2 linked regions of the Tribolium castaneum genome follow. The protein of the gene in region 2 interacts with the protein of the main gene of each other region in a biochemical or structural test. Links are inferred from orthologs where the notes say so. Each region holds a gene or a part of one and is shown on either strand. Other genes may lie near its edges.

Region 1 (7,358 bases), on a different chromosome or scaffold from region 2:
GGAATCCTCAGCTTGTCAACCGACGTCGTAAATCCACACATTGTGGAAATATTTTTAACATAATCCAAATAGTCCCCATACTGGCTTAATGCAGCGTTAATTCTAACATATTTGCGACCACTTAAGTCGTACGGGCAACAAGGCAGAACGAAAAAATTCGTCTTGGGTGAACTGTTGAGTGCAATGATCGGAATCCAAGGTGTTAGCTCGTCCGAGTGATTACCAATGAGCCAAGTGGCGTCCGGATAAATTGACTCTGGGGTGACTGCACCTGTGCGAAGGTCGGCTTCGCCCCCGTAAATCTCCCAAACTTGCCGACTTCGAATATCGAAACCACAGCCCTTGAAACCCTCCTTGTTTAAAATATAGACGAGGAGACCATTGCCGCACCCACAGTCCACGAAATTGATATTTTCAGTCTTTAAATGCCGCCATAAACTGATCAAGTAAGCCGCGATTGCGATGTCCTCAAAAACGTATTTTTGGGGATCAGTTTTGGCTTTTTGTGGCCACTTTTCGACCAAATCTCTGCCGTATTTCACCTTCAATTCGGAGTAAAGCGTGCAGTAGTCACTAGGGGCTACAAGACTCAGAGATTTTATCACAGAATCGTCACTAATGTCGTTTTCGCTCCATTTCATCAATTTTGGAAATAATTTATCGGCAAGCCATTCAGCACTTGCCGTTTCGGCAATTTCAAATTCGTTCAAAATGATAGTCAGGTGTCCCGATTTGGTCAAGTGGATGTGGTAGGGAAATCGGGGGGCTATGATCGGACTGGTTTGTTCTTGAGCGGCGAGAAAAGTAACAGTTTGGGTGTCTTTATCAAAAATTGCGATTTCAAGGCATTTTTCGTTGTTTTTGCGCGAAAGTAACTGTCGAATTGATAGAAAAGTGCCCTCGTAACAATTATCCAATGTCTCTAGCGCCGTTTCCTCAACTGTGGCTTTTTTGTCGTAAATTTCCGTGATATTTTTAATAAATTGTGGAGTGATTTGGGACAAGTCGGGTAACTTTCTAACTTCGTATATGAGGGACTCCCAGGTGAAAACGTCCCTCAGGCGTTTAACGCCAGGGCAGTTGAGTGTGATTTTGCAAAAGATAAGGGGCACAATCGCTGCTAATTTGCGATTGATCACGTGGGGCCTATTGTGGTAAACTAAAACAGCCTTCCAGAAATTTTCCAAAGGGACTTGAGTGCAACTCCTGACCAGGGGGACCTCCTCCATGTTACTGTTTCCCAAGATACTAGAAATTGAACTCGTTTTTTGCTAAACCACTTACGCAACTCACTTTTTTCAAGACCCAGTCAGCGTCCTCGTAAGACCTTGCGACGATTTGTTGGATGCGTTGGGGGTCGGTTTCATTAACGTGCTGTTTGAAACTCTTAAATCGAATATTTGGGTGACTCCGCCAACTTGGCACGAACTTACTTACCTGTTTGATCATAAACTTGTAATATTTTTGGGGCCCTTCGGGCAGTTTCTCACACTGGCGTATCAAGTGCCGGTATAGGGCCTTCGGGGACGTATCGGCTTTACTGGTGCAGTGACTAAAGCGAAAGAATTGCATGCAAGTCTTGGACATAGTTTGGGGTTATGTTCGCCGAAAATTGAACCCGTGACACCACTGATGAAATAATCAAATCGGACCGTTCGCAATTAATTAAAATGCTGGTAGAGCTTGGCTTGTGAACGCATTTGCTTGATTTGCGCTAATTATCGTAGTTTTCCGGGTGTGAGTGACGTAACTTTTGACACCGCCACCCTAACCTCACCATCCGTCAATTTCCCAGCAAACGATGGTCTTCCGCCGTTTATTCCGGCCCCAAGTGAGCACACTTTTGCGCCAATATTGTGATAAGTAAGTTGTGGGGGTCCCGTGCCCGTTTATTTTTAATTGGGTTTAGGAAGCCCCCTCAGGAGTACTTTAATCGTGACGGTGACCGTGGCACGTCCAAAACCCTCACTTCTGATACTCTACCCAAAGACTCAAAGATCTTCGAGGCTATCGGGGCCGCCGAGGAGCTGCTAAGCCACATAGGCCTGGCCCGCGAGTATGCACAAGAGGCGGAGCACGAATACTCAGACAAACTCAAGCGAATTCAGACAATAATCATAGATTTAAGCACGGCGATTTCGCGCTCGAACGACCAGGCGAAGAAAATCATCCCGAAAAACTACACCAAAGAGCTGGAAGACTGGATCTTGGAATACTCGAAGCAGTTGCCGCCGCCTGAACAGTACATTATTCCTGTAATTGATTTGGTGCGTTTTCGGGTGTGGTAATTGTGGGTTTCAGGGGGGCGGCATCCCGAGTGCGTCTCTGCACGTTGCACGGGCGGTTTGTCGCCGGACTGAGCGCGTGATCGTTCCTCTGGTGAACGAAGGGCATTTGCACAACGAGGCCCTTATTTACCTCAATAGACTCTCGGACTTTTTGTTTATCGTCTCACGAATGGCCGCTAAGTTAGACAAGAGGACGGAGTCGATCTATATCCCCAAACCCGACGAGAAAGTCCAAGCTCAATAATTTATTACATTTTGTACATAGGAAAGTTTACAAAGTTTTAATAAAAAAATATCAACAAAACTGTTACAACTGTTCAAGACCTGAGGCCATTTCTTTGTATGATAATACCTCAAGGTAGGAGCCGTTCTTAATTTCCGCTTGCACCATCGTGTCGATTTCCTTGAAGTGCCCAGGGTCCACCAAAAAAATTAGCGTTAGTTGGTCGTCATCGCGGTCCTCTTTCTCCACTTCCACGCTCTCGAACTTGCCGATTTTGTCCTTCATTTTTTTGGCGACTTTTCCCTTCGATATGACCTTAAGCCGCATCTTGGCTCGTTCGAGCGGGATTTGCTCCTTCAGCAGCTTAATCACCTGAAGCGCCTGCTGTTTAGCCGATTGGTTGGGCTTGACTGAATAGTGTGCATCTTTCATGGCTTTTTCTATGATTGTGACGGGGTACGGGCGCTTCAGTTCGGGGTTTATGCATTTTTCGGCGACCGTCGTTGCGATATCTTTGAACAGTTGGTCGATTTGGCTTTGCCGCTCTTTGTCGGAGACTTGCAGTTCGCCCTTCAGGAGGATTTCTTTGCAGATTTCTGTCTGATCCTCGGTATTGAACGCCTTGACTAGATCCTCTTTTTTCGCAACTTGGCCTTTGGAAACGTTGGCGAAGACGGTGTGGGATTGCAACACCTCATCAATGTCCTTTTCACTGAAAATCAAGTCAAATTGTGCAATCCTGGACTCGCTCTACTTACACTTGGTTTCTCCATGACACAACTTTGTTCCGGTAGCAGGCGATCTCGAAACGTTTTCCGCCCTTTTTCATGCGGACCACGGCGATGTTTGTTAGCCGGATTTGGTTCGTGGGGGTAAATATTTTCGACATTATTTTTTGACTTTTGACGTTTAAATGGCAAGTTGGGTGAGTTGGCCGGTAGAGGACGCCTGGCTAACATCTGAGTGGTTCTGGTCGCCGATTGGTTAATTTCTGAATCGGGCGATGTGATTGGTCGAACTGAAAGTATTGAACACGGGCTTATTGTGACGTTTGTTGTCTTTTCGTAATTGTCAAAAATATCAGTTTATTATTTTTTTTGAAAAAACGTGCACAGTACCGTACTCATGTGGGTGTTACGAGTGAAAAGTCCAGAATGGCCCTAGTGACGGTGCGGCGGAGCCCCAGCACAAACAATTCGCCGACGAGTCTCGTAAGTCAAATATTTCCAACCCTTGTCATTGTTTATATTTAGAACCGCGAAGTTTCCCGACTGTGAGACTTAAAAACACCGAGATTCAAATTAAGGTTATATTTGAGCAAGATCTTATCTAATCTCCGAGTGAATAATAGGGTTCTTGTCAGCCAAAGTAAACAAACATATCCCCGTGTTTTGATAACGTGAAATTGCCCCGACGGTTCGGTTTTGGTCATTTTCTCAAATCCGCTACCAAAAAAGGCATAAAACCCATTGCTGTCACCTTTTCCGACCCGTTTATTCCCAAGTTGGACAATAACGGTACCAGGGTTTTTAGTATCGTGCGGTTGTCGTGCCGCAGCTCTCCCATCGTACTCGCAGCTGTTCTGTCAGTTTGCTGCAAGCAGTCTCGGTGCGAGTGTCGTGAAAAAACGGTTAAACAACCCCATTGTACGCAATGTCTTGGTGATTCGTGTGAGCAATGTTGTACATTTTGCCGCCCCCGAGGACCCCGAACCCGCCGTCCCCATGGGAGAGCATCCTGTTCTCCGGCGGCGGCGGCGGCAGCGCCAACGGAAACACTTCGTGGAAGCCCCCAAGGGTGCGTCTTAGGCCCAAAGTGAGTATGTGTTTACACAGGAAGGGTTTTTTGGGCGCCTCCGGCACCAGGAAAACGAATCAATAGACGTTGGACCGGTTCGGGGGCCGATTTGCAATTCATTGATCGAGGGGCTGGAGAAAATTCCGTCTAAAAAACGGATTATATGAGTCATGTTGTTAAAGGGATTAGGTTTTTGAGGAGTTAATCCTGGCATAGATCGGGTTACCGTTGTTATCTAATTACAAAAAATTGATAATTGATGAAATTTGGTACTTTCACGCCCAGGTTTTCTGTTTAAAAAGTGTGATAACGAGATTGTTAAGACGGCAAGCAGTCCACTTTGTGTTTTCTGTTTGTGGTTTTCGGTTTGTTTTGTGATAATGAAAATGTGGAGCGGATTTCAACGTACGATTCTAAAAACAACACAAAGTACTAATTTACAGTTTTTCATGCGGAAATGTGACTAGGAATTTATGCAAACTGTATGAGAAATTGGCGATCTATCGTAGTAATGGCATTTAATTAATTATTTCTTGGTGAGTAATAAACTGGATGTGTTTATCTAATTAATTCTTGAAATTATTTTAATGACTTTCCTCTGATATAATTTTAGAAAAATTCCGCACATTGACACCGTTTTTGTGTGTAGAGACTATTTTTAGCTATTGGCCAGAATTGGCATGTCAATGCTTGGAGAAATGAGCATTTTACAGCACAAAAATTACAAGTGAGATTTTGACTAGAAATGTAAATGTTGTCTCCCTTTATGTTTGCATTAGCATAAGTAATGTTTGCTTAATGAAAGTTCGGAAAAGTTTTAATTTGATTTTAATAGATATGCATACATTTTACAATTGTTGCAAGTTTTTGAAGTGAAATTGAAGAAACACAATACGTATTATAGTAAAAAAATTAAAATATGAAATAACTGGCATTGCGGAGGCCACAAATATTTACGAAATATAAAAAGCAAGCATCACGTTTGTTTTCACGTAAAAAGAAATAAAGTGTAGATATGTATTCAAACATGTATGTATTATGTCAATATTTAAATGAATAAATCTTGCAAATGGAAACTGTTTTCAAATAAAAAAGGAATTTTAAAACTTTTAAATTAACCCCGATTTTTTTCATTGTTTTCCAAATTGTGATTTTCTATGTTGTTGATGTTTTGAATTAAGAGAGTTTCCGATTTTTCAATTCGGATTAACGTGACACTTGATAACATGCTAGTATTTGCTTGATTTTTTAAAGCGAGCCATATTTAGAAAATGAAATGAATAATGTTGACATTTTCTTGGCTTCTGGCAATTTATGCGATTTGATACAGGTCTAATCTTTCTTTTCTCTCATTAATAATTAAAATTTATGGGTGAGGACGTCAAGCAGAGATTTTCACCAAAAAGAACAAAAAGTGTGGTGTTATTAATCTCGGATTTATGTTTATGTTTTTTATCGCTTGGTTGATAATTTGCCAGAGATAATCATTTACGTGCACGTGTCGTTTGAATCAATACAAAACGGGAATCATCTTAGACGTGTTGAATATTTTTCGTCCACTTGGGAGCAATTCTCATTAATCTCGAGTTAACTTTATGATAAGGAAGTAATTTCAATGTTGATATTCTCACGACTGCTCATCCTCACGTCTCGCTTTTTGCGTCTTCTCAAATATGGATAGATGGAAAAAAGTTGTCTATATGTAGATAAGTCGAAAAGCAATTTAGGAGGCCGCGGAATTGCAACACAACCTTGTAAGCGTATAAGTAATTAAAATGGCCGTAATGGAATGTTACGTAACGACATTTGCAGAATCTGAAAATTCCGACGTTAATTCAACCTTTCAGGAGTTATTCTCATGAGGTAATAACGAATTCTTATCGCATTTCGTCGACTTTCCCGCCTTGCTATCATTTTTTTCCAGCGCTAATGAAATTATACAATCCGAGCCGGTAGTAACCGACTTAAGTCATGTAATTATTGCACTCTATATCGTCTTAATTTCCTGCGATTACGAAAAGTTTATTAATGACCTATCCGGGTGAGGTTTTTGTCGTCGTGAAAGTTGACAGATCGAAATCGATAGATTTCGTTGGTCGGTAAAGCGTGGAAGTCGGCGACGGACCGTTACATGTCGATCGAAAAACGCGTCGTAATTGCACATATTAAAAATTGATGTCATGCGGAAATGACGGCGGTCTTGCATTGTATTCCGGCGCCATTTTAACCCATTTCGCTAGAAAATCGACGATGATTATGCCAATTTTTCGACCGGATGATTGAAAGAAAAAATAAAATACCCGGAATGTTTGGCCGATGAAATATAAATTGAATATTGTAATTAAACCGCGATTAAAATGCAAATTAATATGATAAATAAAACATGTCGTAGTTGGTATTGTTTTTTTCCTGCGTGTCTTAATAAAGCGAATTTTTATGCAAATCGTTTCAACATCTCGAGCGTGCATTATAATTAGGCTGTTTGTAAATAAACCTACGCACTTTGTGCGTGAACTATAGCAGACTGGACGATGGGTTTCCGAATCGAGATGGAAGTTTTATTACAATCGACGTGTCTGAACAAAAGAGAGAAAGTGGATTTGTTTGTTTGGGATTATATTGCGTGTATATTTTAAGTGGTTAAATGGTCGGAGAGATGAAAAAAAGTAATGGAGGTCCTGCCGGCTGTTGCGTAAACTGAAATAAATGGGCCAGAATCCTGCAGTTTGGGTAGAATTACTGCAGCTCATTATTTTTTATTTCCATAATTATTTTTACAACAATTAAAAGTTTGCCACCTGTCAACCCAGTTTCATTATCAGTTGCATATTAGTGCATAAAAGTAACGAGCTGTTAAAATTTTATTAATAACTTTCACTGGAATGATTAGTTTATCTGATCGATTGCTCCATAGTTTCGAGAATCTTTATAATATTGACTGTATCTTTTGATAATAAGTTGCATTTTTTGGAGGAAGGGATTGGAATAAAACCAGTTGTTAAAGCAAAATCATTTAATAAAACATTTCTCGTAGTATAATTTTTTGGGAC
Region 2 (8,380 bases):
GTTGTTTGTGCAACGACCAGTGCATTCCCAGCTTATTATACAAGCGGTTATTTTCCGATTTTAATGTTCTATGTAACGACTTGATTGTCCTCTTATTAAAATAAACCACCGGACACATTGAGCAGCCCAGCGTGCAACAAAACGTGAGGCACCCGCAGAAAAACCAAACGAAATTGTTGATGAAATTCCGTCTTAGCACCTTATTGATGAGAAAAATCGTGTAAGCGTATTCTTCTGGCGCTACTTTCATTCTTAATCGGCTTGGAATTGCGGGGCTAAAGTGGTTGTTGAGGCCAAAAAGCGTCACTTGGCCGTTTCCCTTCAGTAAAATTGGTTCAATTGCGGCGAGATTTTGCAAGATCGTGCTGTAAACACTTTCTGAACTACTCGATTCTGGCGGTTGCATTTTGCAAACTTACATGGTGACATTTTTGACACGGAAGCTTTTGTGTGTGTCACTGTCAAAAAAATGTTTATTTTCAGAGTGGCAAATACGCGGAGCCTCCTTTCCTGTCCGCGGAAAGCAAGCGCCTCATCGCCTCCATGCTCCAAGTGGACCCCAAGAAACGCATCACCGTGCAAGAGCTCCTCTCACACCCTTGGCTCACGTTGGGTATCCTGGACCCAGTCGATTACACCTCAATTGATTTGAGAAAGTACGACAAGGATTGTGTCGACGTTATGGCATCGTATTACAACGTAAACCCGGAAAGAATGTGGCGCCACTTGAAAAAATGGAAATATGATTATCACACCGCTACGTATTTTTTGTTGCTTTCGAGGAAAAAAAGAGGGGCTGTTTTGAGACTGGTGTCATTGCCGGGGCAACTACACTTGAAAATGCGGTTGGAGGAGACTCCGCGTAAAGAAAGGCCCCAGTTGAAACCCTTGGTGATAACTCAAGGACAGCAATTAGGTGCAAAAGAGGGACAGACGCCGTACTACGACTGTATCGAGAATATCGAAAATTGCAAACCGGCGAGAAATGATAATCTGGATAGTCCCAATGTGTTTGTTGAACCTGAGAAGCCCCCAAGCGTACGCAAACCTCAGAAGAGGGTGAGGAGCCCCACTTTGGGAGAGGAAAGTTCGCCAGGTACGATTTTTTTATTTTATCACTCTTGTGCAATAGAAGTTTCCAAATCCATTTCCACTATGTTTTCAGCGGCGCAACAGCAAAATTTTCTTTTGTTGTTTACGTTCTTTTTATCTTATGTTACTTTCCTGTGTTTCGTATATTTTTTTAGTATTAGAGGCAAGTTGCAAATTTTTGGTCACATCTTTTAATTTATGTTTAGTTGTTTTGTTTATTCGTTTTGTTCATTTGTCTGTATTTTTTCAATTCTGTTTTTCAAGGTGTTTGTTCGACAATTTACCACTCTTACGCGGTAAAGTAGTTCTTCTAACTCTTAGTTCTCTTTTCTTTTGTATCACATTATTTGAATTGTTATTAAGCTCGTCTTATTTAAGGTGTTTTTATTTTGTAGTGGAGTGGTTGTTTTATTTTATAGTGCATTTTTTTATCATGTGTGTCCACTTATTATCCCTCCCTCGATTTCTTCAAAGACACAGTTCGATCTCGAAAATCCAAACCTACTATAATCTGAACAGATTCTTTGACTTTTGTAAAACAAACTATTCCAAACAATATTTCCCGAGAAATATTATGTAGATTGTTAAATAATCTTGTAAAAACAACGTAATGTTGTGGTTGCATAATACAAATAGAAAATTTTGAATTTAGAAGTTGCTACAAAAGGCAATTTTCATTGTAAAAGAAGGAATTACTTATTTTCAAATAACATTTTTGCACGAGATATCAAGTAGCGTTTAGATCATCTCGGAACCAAATTGTTTAATTAATTTTAAATTAAACTAGTTAATTACTTCGAAAAAGGAAAGGAACTTTGACCACTAAACTTTTGATAAATTGAGAAAACTTGACTAAAATTTTCACGTCAAACATGGGAAAAATAAAATATATAAATTACTGTTTTTTACTGAGTGCTATAGATGATTTAATGCCTATCTGCCTGTAATTTTTGTGTGTCCTGTGCAGTCATTTACTTCATTGCTCTTAAAACTTAAACGTTTATTAAAAAAATCACATGTAATTATTAAAAAAAAATTAAACGCAAAATCTTAAATATTTCCCAAAAGGTGGGTTTTTGAAAAAAACACGATAAATAGCAGGTAAATCTTCTGTTTAAAACAACATAGACAACATATTGAATTTTGTATCCATCAAGCGAATCAGAAGTTGCTAAACAAAAATTTTAAAGTTATCCACTTTTCCAACAGGAAGCAAAAAATAACCCTTAATCTGACGAAATTTTGAAAGTCAAGGCTAAATTTTGAGGTATTTTATATAATTTTGTCGAGAATTTTTATATGATCATTATAGTAAATATTTTTTTACAAATCAAAATAAGTCTCATGTTGTATTTGGTTGGATTATCGAGGTTGCACTGTATCACTTTATTTTTTGTTTTTGTTTTATATATTTTGTGAAAGTATAGTCATCCCCAGCCCCCAAAACAAAGCCTAACATCTTACAAAAATATTTATTCACGTGTTAGTTTCACTTTTATTTTTTCTTATTGAGCGTCCTTTGTTTCTCTCCATGCACGACCACCTGTTCCTCCACGTGCAACCCTTTCCGTTTCCTTATCGCTTTTCTAAGTTTGGTGGCCCTGATAGCCGACTCCACATTCACATCTTCCTCTTCTTCGTCGTCCTCCACCGGCTCGTAAAACGGATCACCGTCGATAATCTCAAAATGACTAAACTTCAAAGTAGGAATCGCTTGCCCAGAAGTCGTTTTGCGCATTTCGTTAGCAAAACCCGTACTTTCAACAACCGGAATCTGGGCCTTAACCAGAAAACTTTTCTCTTGCTCGTCCATTCCGACAGCGTCCAGAACTTTCCCGTGCCGTTTACTCACAACCGAGTAGACTTTTCCTAAAATATTTGTGTTGACTTGAATACTGGTCGTAAACATCGGTTCCATGAGTCTCTGCTGTTGTTTTTCGAACGCTTCGCGAAACGCTGAACTCAGAGCCGATTCGATATTAACACTGGTTTTGGTCGTCCCGTCCAAGCTCTCGTCATGACTGACTTCAAAGTTTTTCACCAGGAAAACACAGTTTTTCAGTGGTTCTTCACACAGCGGGCCAGCTTTGCAGCACGAATTGAAGGCGTTCACCACAAATTGGTCGAAACACGACCGCGGGTCTTTCTCGTCCAAAGTTTCGTAAATATTTCGCGCGTAATTACTGGTCCCGTTGATTAGTAAATTTATACTGTCAGGCATGCGGCCCACGCTCCAGACCTTATTTTCGATTTTGGCCCAAATGCCTTTACACGAAGCGAAAACCGAGCTTAATTGCTCGCTCACATGTTTAAGTGAGACGTTAGTGACGTCGCTTTTGAACATTTTTAAAGTTGGGGGTTTCAAGTCTTCAGGTTTTGACGCACGTTTGGCGAACAGTTCGAATCCGCTGATTTGTTGGTGTTCTTCGATTGAGTGCAACAGTTTGTAGTTCTTTTCGATTTCGTTGGCTATAACGTCCGGTAAAGCGACCACAACTACGGTTAAACGAATCTGGGCCACTTCTACTGTGACCGAATTCTCCAGGTCTTTCTTTAAGTCGCTTTTGTTGCTTCCGTGGGTCACAGTTTCCCGCAGTGAGACCATCGGACTGGAAACGTTGATTTCAATTTTGGCAAATTTCGTCGTCAAATCTTCCAGACATTTAGCAAGGTGTACGTCCCCTGCTGTCAGTAAAACATACTCTCCTGATTCTTCTATTACGACCTGGACGCAAGAATCACTTTGCATTAGTACGCGCAAACCTTGTCTTAAAATTGGAAGGTCTTTCGGATTGGTTGGTTCGATGGCGTTTCGGACTATAGGGGGCTGTGATGGGTGTTCAATAAATGCGACACACTGTAGAGTTGTTGATAGGGTTGCTGTGCGGACTATAGCCGACTCCAGCCCCCCGATACCACACACATTTCCAGCCGTTATTTCATCAACTAGGACCAACTCACGACCAAAAAGCATATAAAGTTCTTTAACTTTCACTAATTGGGCACACGTATCACTTGTTTTGCCTTCTTGGGGGACGTATTGAGGTGACAAGACGTAGATTTCTTGGCCCGTTTTGAGACAACCGGTGAAAACTCGCGCCAGTGCTATTATAGAAAATTCATCCCGAGGTTTCTCTTCTTCGCAATTTTTTTCCTTTTCAGTGTGGTTTGTTTTTTCGCCATTTTCCTGCTTGGGTTCAGTATTTTTAGGTCTCGGCTTGGGGATAAAAACTTTAGGTTTGTTTTGTGACAAGTTCTTATTGTCGACGCAAAACATTTTCGAAACATATGCAGTACACGGTGTGGAGTCGTCAGAGGAACACGATTTGAACACCGTGATTAGTTTTTCGAGACAATTTTTGTGAAACTCGTTTTCGCAAAATTTGTTAAAATCGAGGAGATATTTAATTTTGTCTTCGTGCATGTTTGAGGGTGGCGGGATAATTTTCATACATTGGTGTAAAATGACATCGGCAAGGGGGCTCCAAGCTTGCATTATGGCCTTGACTTGGGTTTTGGGGTCCGTGTGGTTCATTTCTCGCGTCACGTTCGTAATGTTCAGTTTCTGGACAATGGTGCCAACTTTATCCCTTTGCATTTGGATGACTATGGTTGAGTAGATGTGGAATATCGTTTTGATGCACAGTTGCACAAATAAATTAGTTTTGCCCTTTTCGATCGCTCCTAGTTTAACTGTGTTTGTTTTACCGTCGACGTAAGCATCGAAATTCCATAATTTCGTATTCAGTGAGTCTACGGTTTCACTTTTGATGGCATTCACAAACATCGAGGCTATTTGTTTGAGGGTGAAGCCCCACCCATCGATGGCACTTGCAAAAATCACGTTTCCGGCGTCCGGTGAAAACAAAAGTCCGGTGTCTTCAATATCGACGTCAGGATTGCAATATTCGTATTGGTACAGTTCCGCAACGATCGCATTGCAGTCCTCAATCGCGTGCAAAATCGACTGGAAAATGTCGTTCACTTCCTTGTGCAACTCCACGATTAATTTATCTATTTTGTTTAGAATTAGTATCATTTTGCAGCGTTCTGTGAACGCCTGTTTGATGGCTTCGCGTGTTTGTACGCACACGCCTTCGACTAAGTCGACCACGACTAGGGCCCCGTCGCATACGCGTAGGGCTGCGCCCACCTCGGAGGAGAAATCGATGTGTCCGGGTGTATCAATTAAATTCAACAAAAGCGGCTTTTCTTCTTTCGTGTCTTCATCTTCGACTAAGTTTATTAAAGACACTGCGCTACTTTTCATGGTAATTCCACGTTCTTGCTCGTCCAGTCGGTCGTCTAAATACCTGACCAGACCAGCCATGCGTTTGCTTACTAAACGATTCGTGGCTAGTAGCGAATCGGCGATTGTGGTCTTGCCGTGGTCCACGTGTGCCAAAATGCATACATTTCGTATGCACGATGTGTTTTTCATGCATTCTTGGAGGACTTCGAGTGGGGCACCCATGCTGAAAATTGTAATTTGTGAAGGTGGTGCTAGGAGTAGGTGTGTTCACGAAGGGGTTAGTTGTCGTCTGAAGTACTTACTTGAGTGAAATTGCGGTTTAAAACGGTGAAATGTGTGGAAAATGAAGGGTGAAAAGTTGAGGTTAAGTCACATTTCAGGCAGCTGTCAGAAATAAAGGAGGTTTAGAGCGAGTTCGGGTTAAATAATGGCCGGTTTACGCGTTACGCAAGTTGTTGAAAGTGGTTGAAATTTTCGAATTGGCCTCTTTATTTTACTTTAACATTTTTTTATGCTATTTTATAATGATCAGTAAGCAATTAACATTGTCTACAGAACACCTAGAATAATAAAGTGAAGAGTAAGACTTTACAGGACTTTCTAAATTCGTCAATAAAGAGACGTACACTTGTGTAATGTTGGTTGCATACAATTTCAAATTTTTGTTCAAAAAGTTAAGTGTTTTGCACAACTTTATGAGACCTGCGTCTAATGTACGCATCCAAATATATAAGAGCCTGAAGTCACTAGAAATAATTTATTATTTAATTTTTAGAAGCCGCTGATAATACTAGTCAAACTAATCACTGTTTCAATAATAGTCATGTTTGGTTTTTTTTCAGAAACAGTTATTATGTGTTCTATCAAGAGACGGAATGAATATGATTCTAATCTATCTATCTTAATCAGTTACTCAAAAATTAACTAACAACGTTGTACCTAATTTTTGAAGGGGTGAACAAATTAGAGAAGACTCCAATTTTTCCAAAATTTGTAATTGACTTATGTGAAATGCTCTTCATATTCGTAATAAAAAAACAGCTTAAAAATTATCTCTTTCTCCTAACGAGTGATAGGATGTAATTTCTAAATCTTATGAAATGTTACGATTAACAAAAAATAAACAAATAAAAATTATAATTTCTACTTCTTGGACCCTGTTGTTTACTTGCATAACATTATTTTTTTATTTAAACTACTTTAAACCTTACTCTCGAATACTATGTCAAAAAGATTAATAAGGTTTTATTTACTTTTTGAATTCTTCAAGCAATTTGTAATCATCTCTAATGCAATTCTAAAAACTACTTATGATAAGTATAATCAGTAAAAATATAATTTAGTTGGAGATTCAAGTTCTCATTGCTTCTTTTATTAAAACCAAGAAGAGTCATACATATATTTTGGTTAATGTTTATAATTTTCTCAATAATTAAATATTGGGCAATAAAATAATAGATAAGGTCAAGAAGTCAGAATATTAATTATTTTGTAGTTAATTAACTGTAAACTGATTTACGAGTACATTGTTTTATTGTCAAAGAAATCGTGAAAATCTTTGTTGCAATTTAGCTAAAGAAGCAATAAATTAACTCTTTGAGTTCTGTTGGCGTCTTGGCCAAATCTTTCCCGGAGGTAATTTAATTGCATAAATTCCGAGTAAACAGGAGATACATCACGAAACAGGCGACAGCAAAGTAGTTAAAACTTTAAATGACTGCATCTTAGTATAGCCTTAAGAGTGCAGATGTGTATATCAGTGTCCAGTTCTTCAAGGGCTGTTACCTCCTTCTTTATGGCTTAAAAGTCTTAAATTAGTTCAAGTTTGCACAAGTGTTCTAAGCACTAATAAGAAAGTGCCGGAAAATATCGTCGAAGCAGTTGGTGAAGTGGTCTCTGGGGTGGCATCGCTCACCCGACCCACGTTAAAATATCACCGTTTTAACTTTGTTACAACGCGACCCTTTATGATGTTGCTGTTATAGCGGCACTATAAAGGCGAATGGGATTTATCCTCTTCCATTAAGATATTCAATTCGATGATTTTATTTGAATTTTCAGTGCCCAGCAAAAAATCCACAACGGAGAGATCTACGCCGAAAACTCCAGAAAGGTGAGTGAGTCGAAAAATTGCTCGCTAACGAGCCGAATTTTTGCCGTCTAATTGGCATACACCGGTGCGTTTGTCTCCCTGATTAAGCGTTCCGGTCGTGGTAATTGAAGCAGTAAAGTGTCGAGTATATGGACTGTAGGGGTTGTAAACAAGGGGTTGAACGTGCTTGGTGAACCTGCACGCGGTTGCTGCCTCGATGGCCGGACATGTTTACCAGCTTTGATTATCATAAACATCGGTTTCCGGTCCGTTTGGACGCCGCGATTTGTGCACTTTGCGAAAACTGGCCAAGGACGAATCGGGGAGACATTGCGAATTTATTTCATCCACTCATTTTTCGGAAACACAACAGGTCCTTGCCCACACACGCCATAAATGTTTGAACAAAATCTAATAATTTGTATGGATTCAAACGTATCTAATTTTTTAAATACTGCTCAAGTATTTTTTGTAATTTATTGTCTCATTTTCAATGTTATCAGAAAAAAATATATAAATGATGAAATTTACCCACATTTGTATTCATATTACGTTTTAATTTATTAAAAAATAGCAATTCCAGCAAAGGCAAAATAATTTTTCTGGAGTACTCTAGAGTCCTCTATGGCACAAGTTGTCAAAAAATTGAATATGAAGTATTTTTTTGTGGCAACGATTATTCAAGTAGATGGATGCGAGGTGCGAGTTGTAACACAAAAGCTACGATACTTAGTAAAAATTTGTAAAAGTTGCCGCAAAAGCACTTTAGGAGAAATCACTGCTTTATGGATTGCAGAAACATATTCTAATATTCTTCCGAATGTTGTCGCTGATCGATAAAAAAAAGATCTTGTTTTTTATAAGGAAGACACAAATGAATAATAAAATTTTTAACTTTTCTAAATATTTTTTTAAGTAGGCAAAGAAACACATTCACTGCTGCT

Evidence for each region.
Region 1: the proteins of elongation factor-like GTPase 1 (region 2) and Sbds interact in a biophysical measurement, tested with the Homo sapiens proteins (2 studies listed by BioGRID and IntAct, with this or other methods). The link is inferred for Tribolium castaneum from reciprocal best matches to the Homo sapiens genes EFL1 and SBDS.

Annotation. Positions count from the first base shown.
Region 1 is NC_087395.1:24,036,643-24,044,000, forward strand, and holds Sbds (ribosome maturation protein SBDS), read right to left. Parts: upstream 3,791-7,358; 5' UTR 3,630-3,790; intron 3,530-3,629; 5' UTR 3,401-3,529; coding exon 3,270-3,400; intron 3,224-3,269; coding exon 2,596-3,223; 3' UTR 2,533-2,595; downstream 1-2,532. Other genes in the region: probable tRNA (uracil-O(2)-)-methyltransferase, read right to left, coding at 1-1,229; LYR motif-containing protein 9, read right to left, coding at 1,231-1,248, 1,294-1,386, 1,438-1,587; corrinoid adenosyltransferase MMAB, read left to right, coding at 1,802-1,863, 1,910-2,255, 2,302-2,532; uncharacterized protein LOC663281, read left to right, coding at 4,189-4,326. UniProt on the Homo sapiens protein: Required for the assembly of mature ribosomes and ribosome biogenesis.
Region 2 is NC_087394.1:28,831,597-28,839,976, reverse strand, and holds elongation factor-like GTPase 1, read right to left. Parts: upstream 5,792-8,380; 5' UTR 5,647-5,791; intron 5,568-5,646; 5' UTR 5,567-5,567; coding exon 2,588-5,566; 3' UTR 2,551-2,587; downstream 1-2,550. Other genes in the region: maternal embryonic leucine zipper kinase, read left to right, coding at 484-1,096, 7,406-7,457. UniProt on the Homo sapiens protein: GTPase involved in the biogenesis of the 60S ribosomal subunit and translational activation of ribosomes.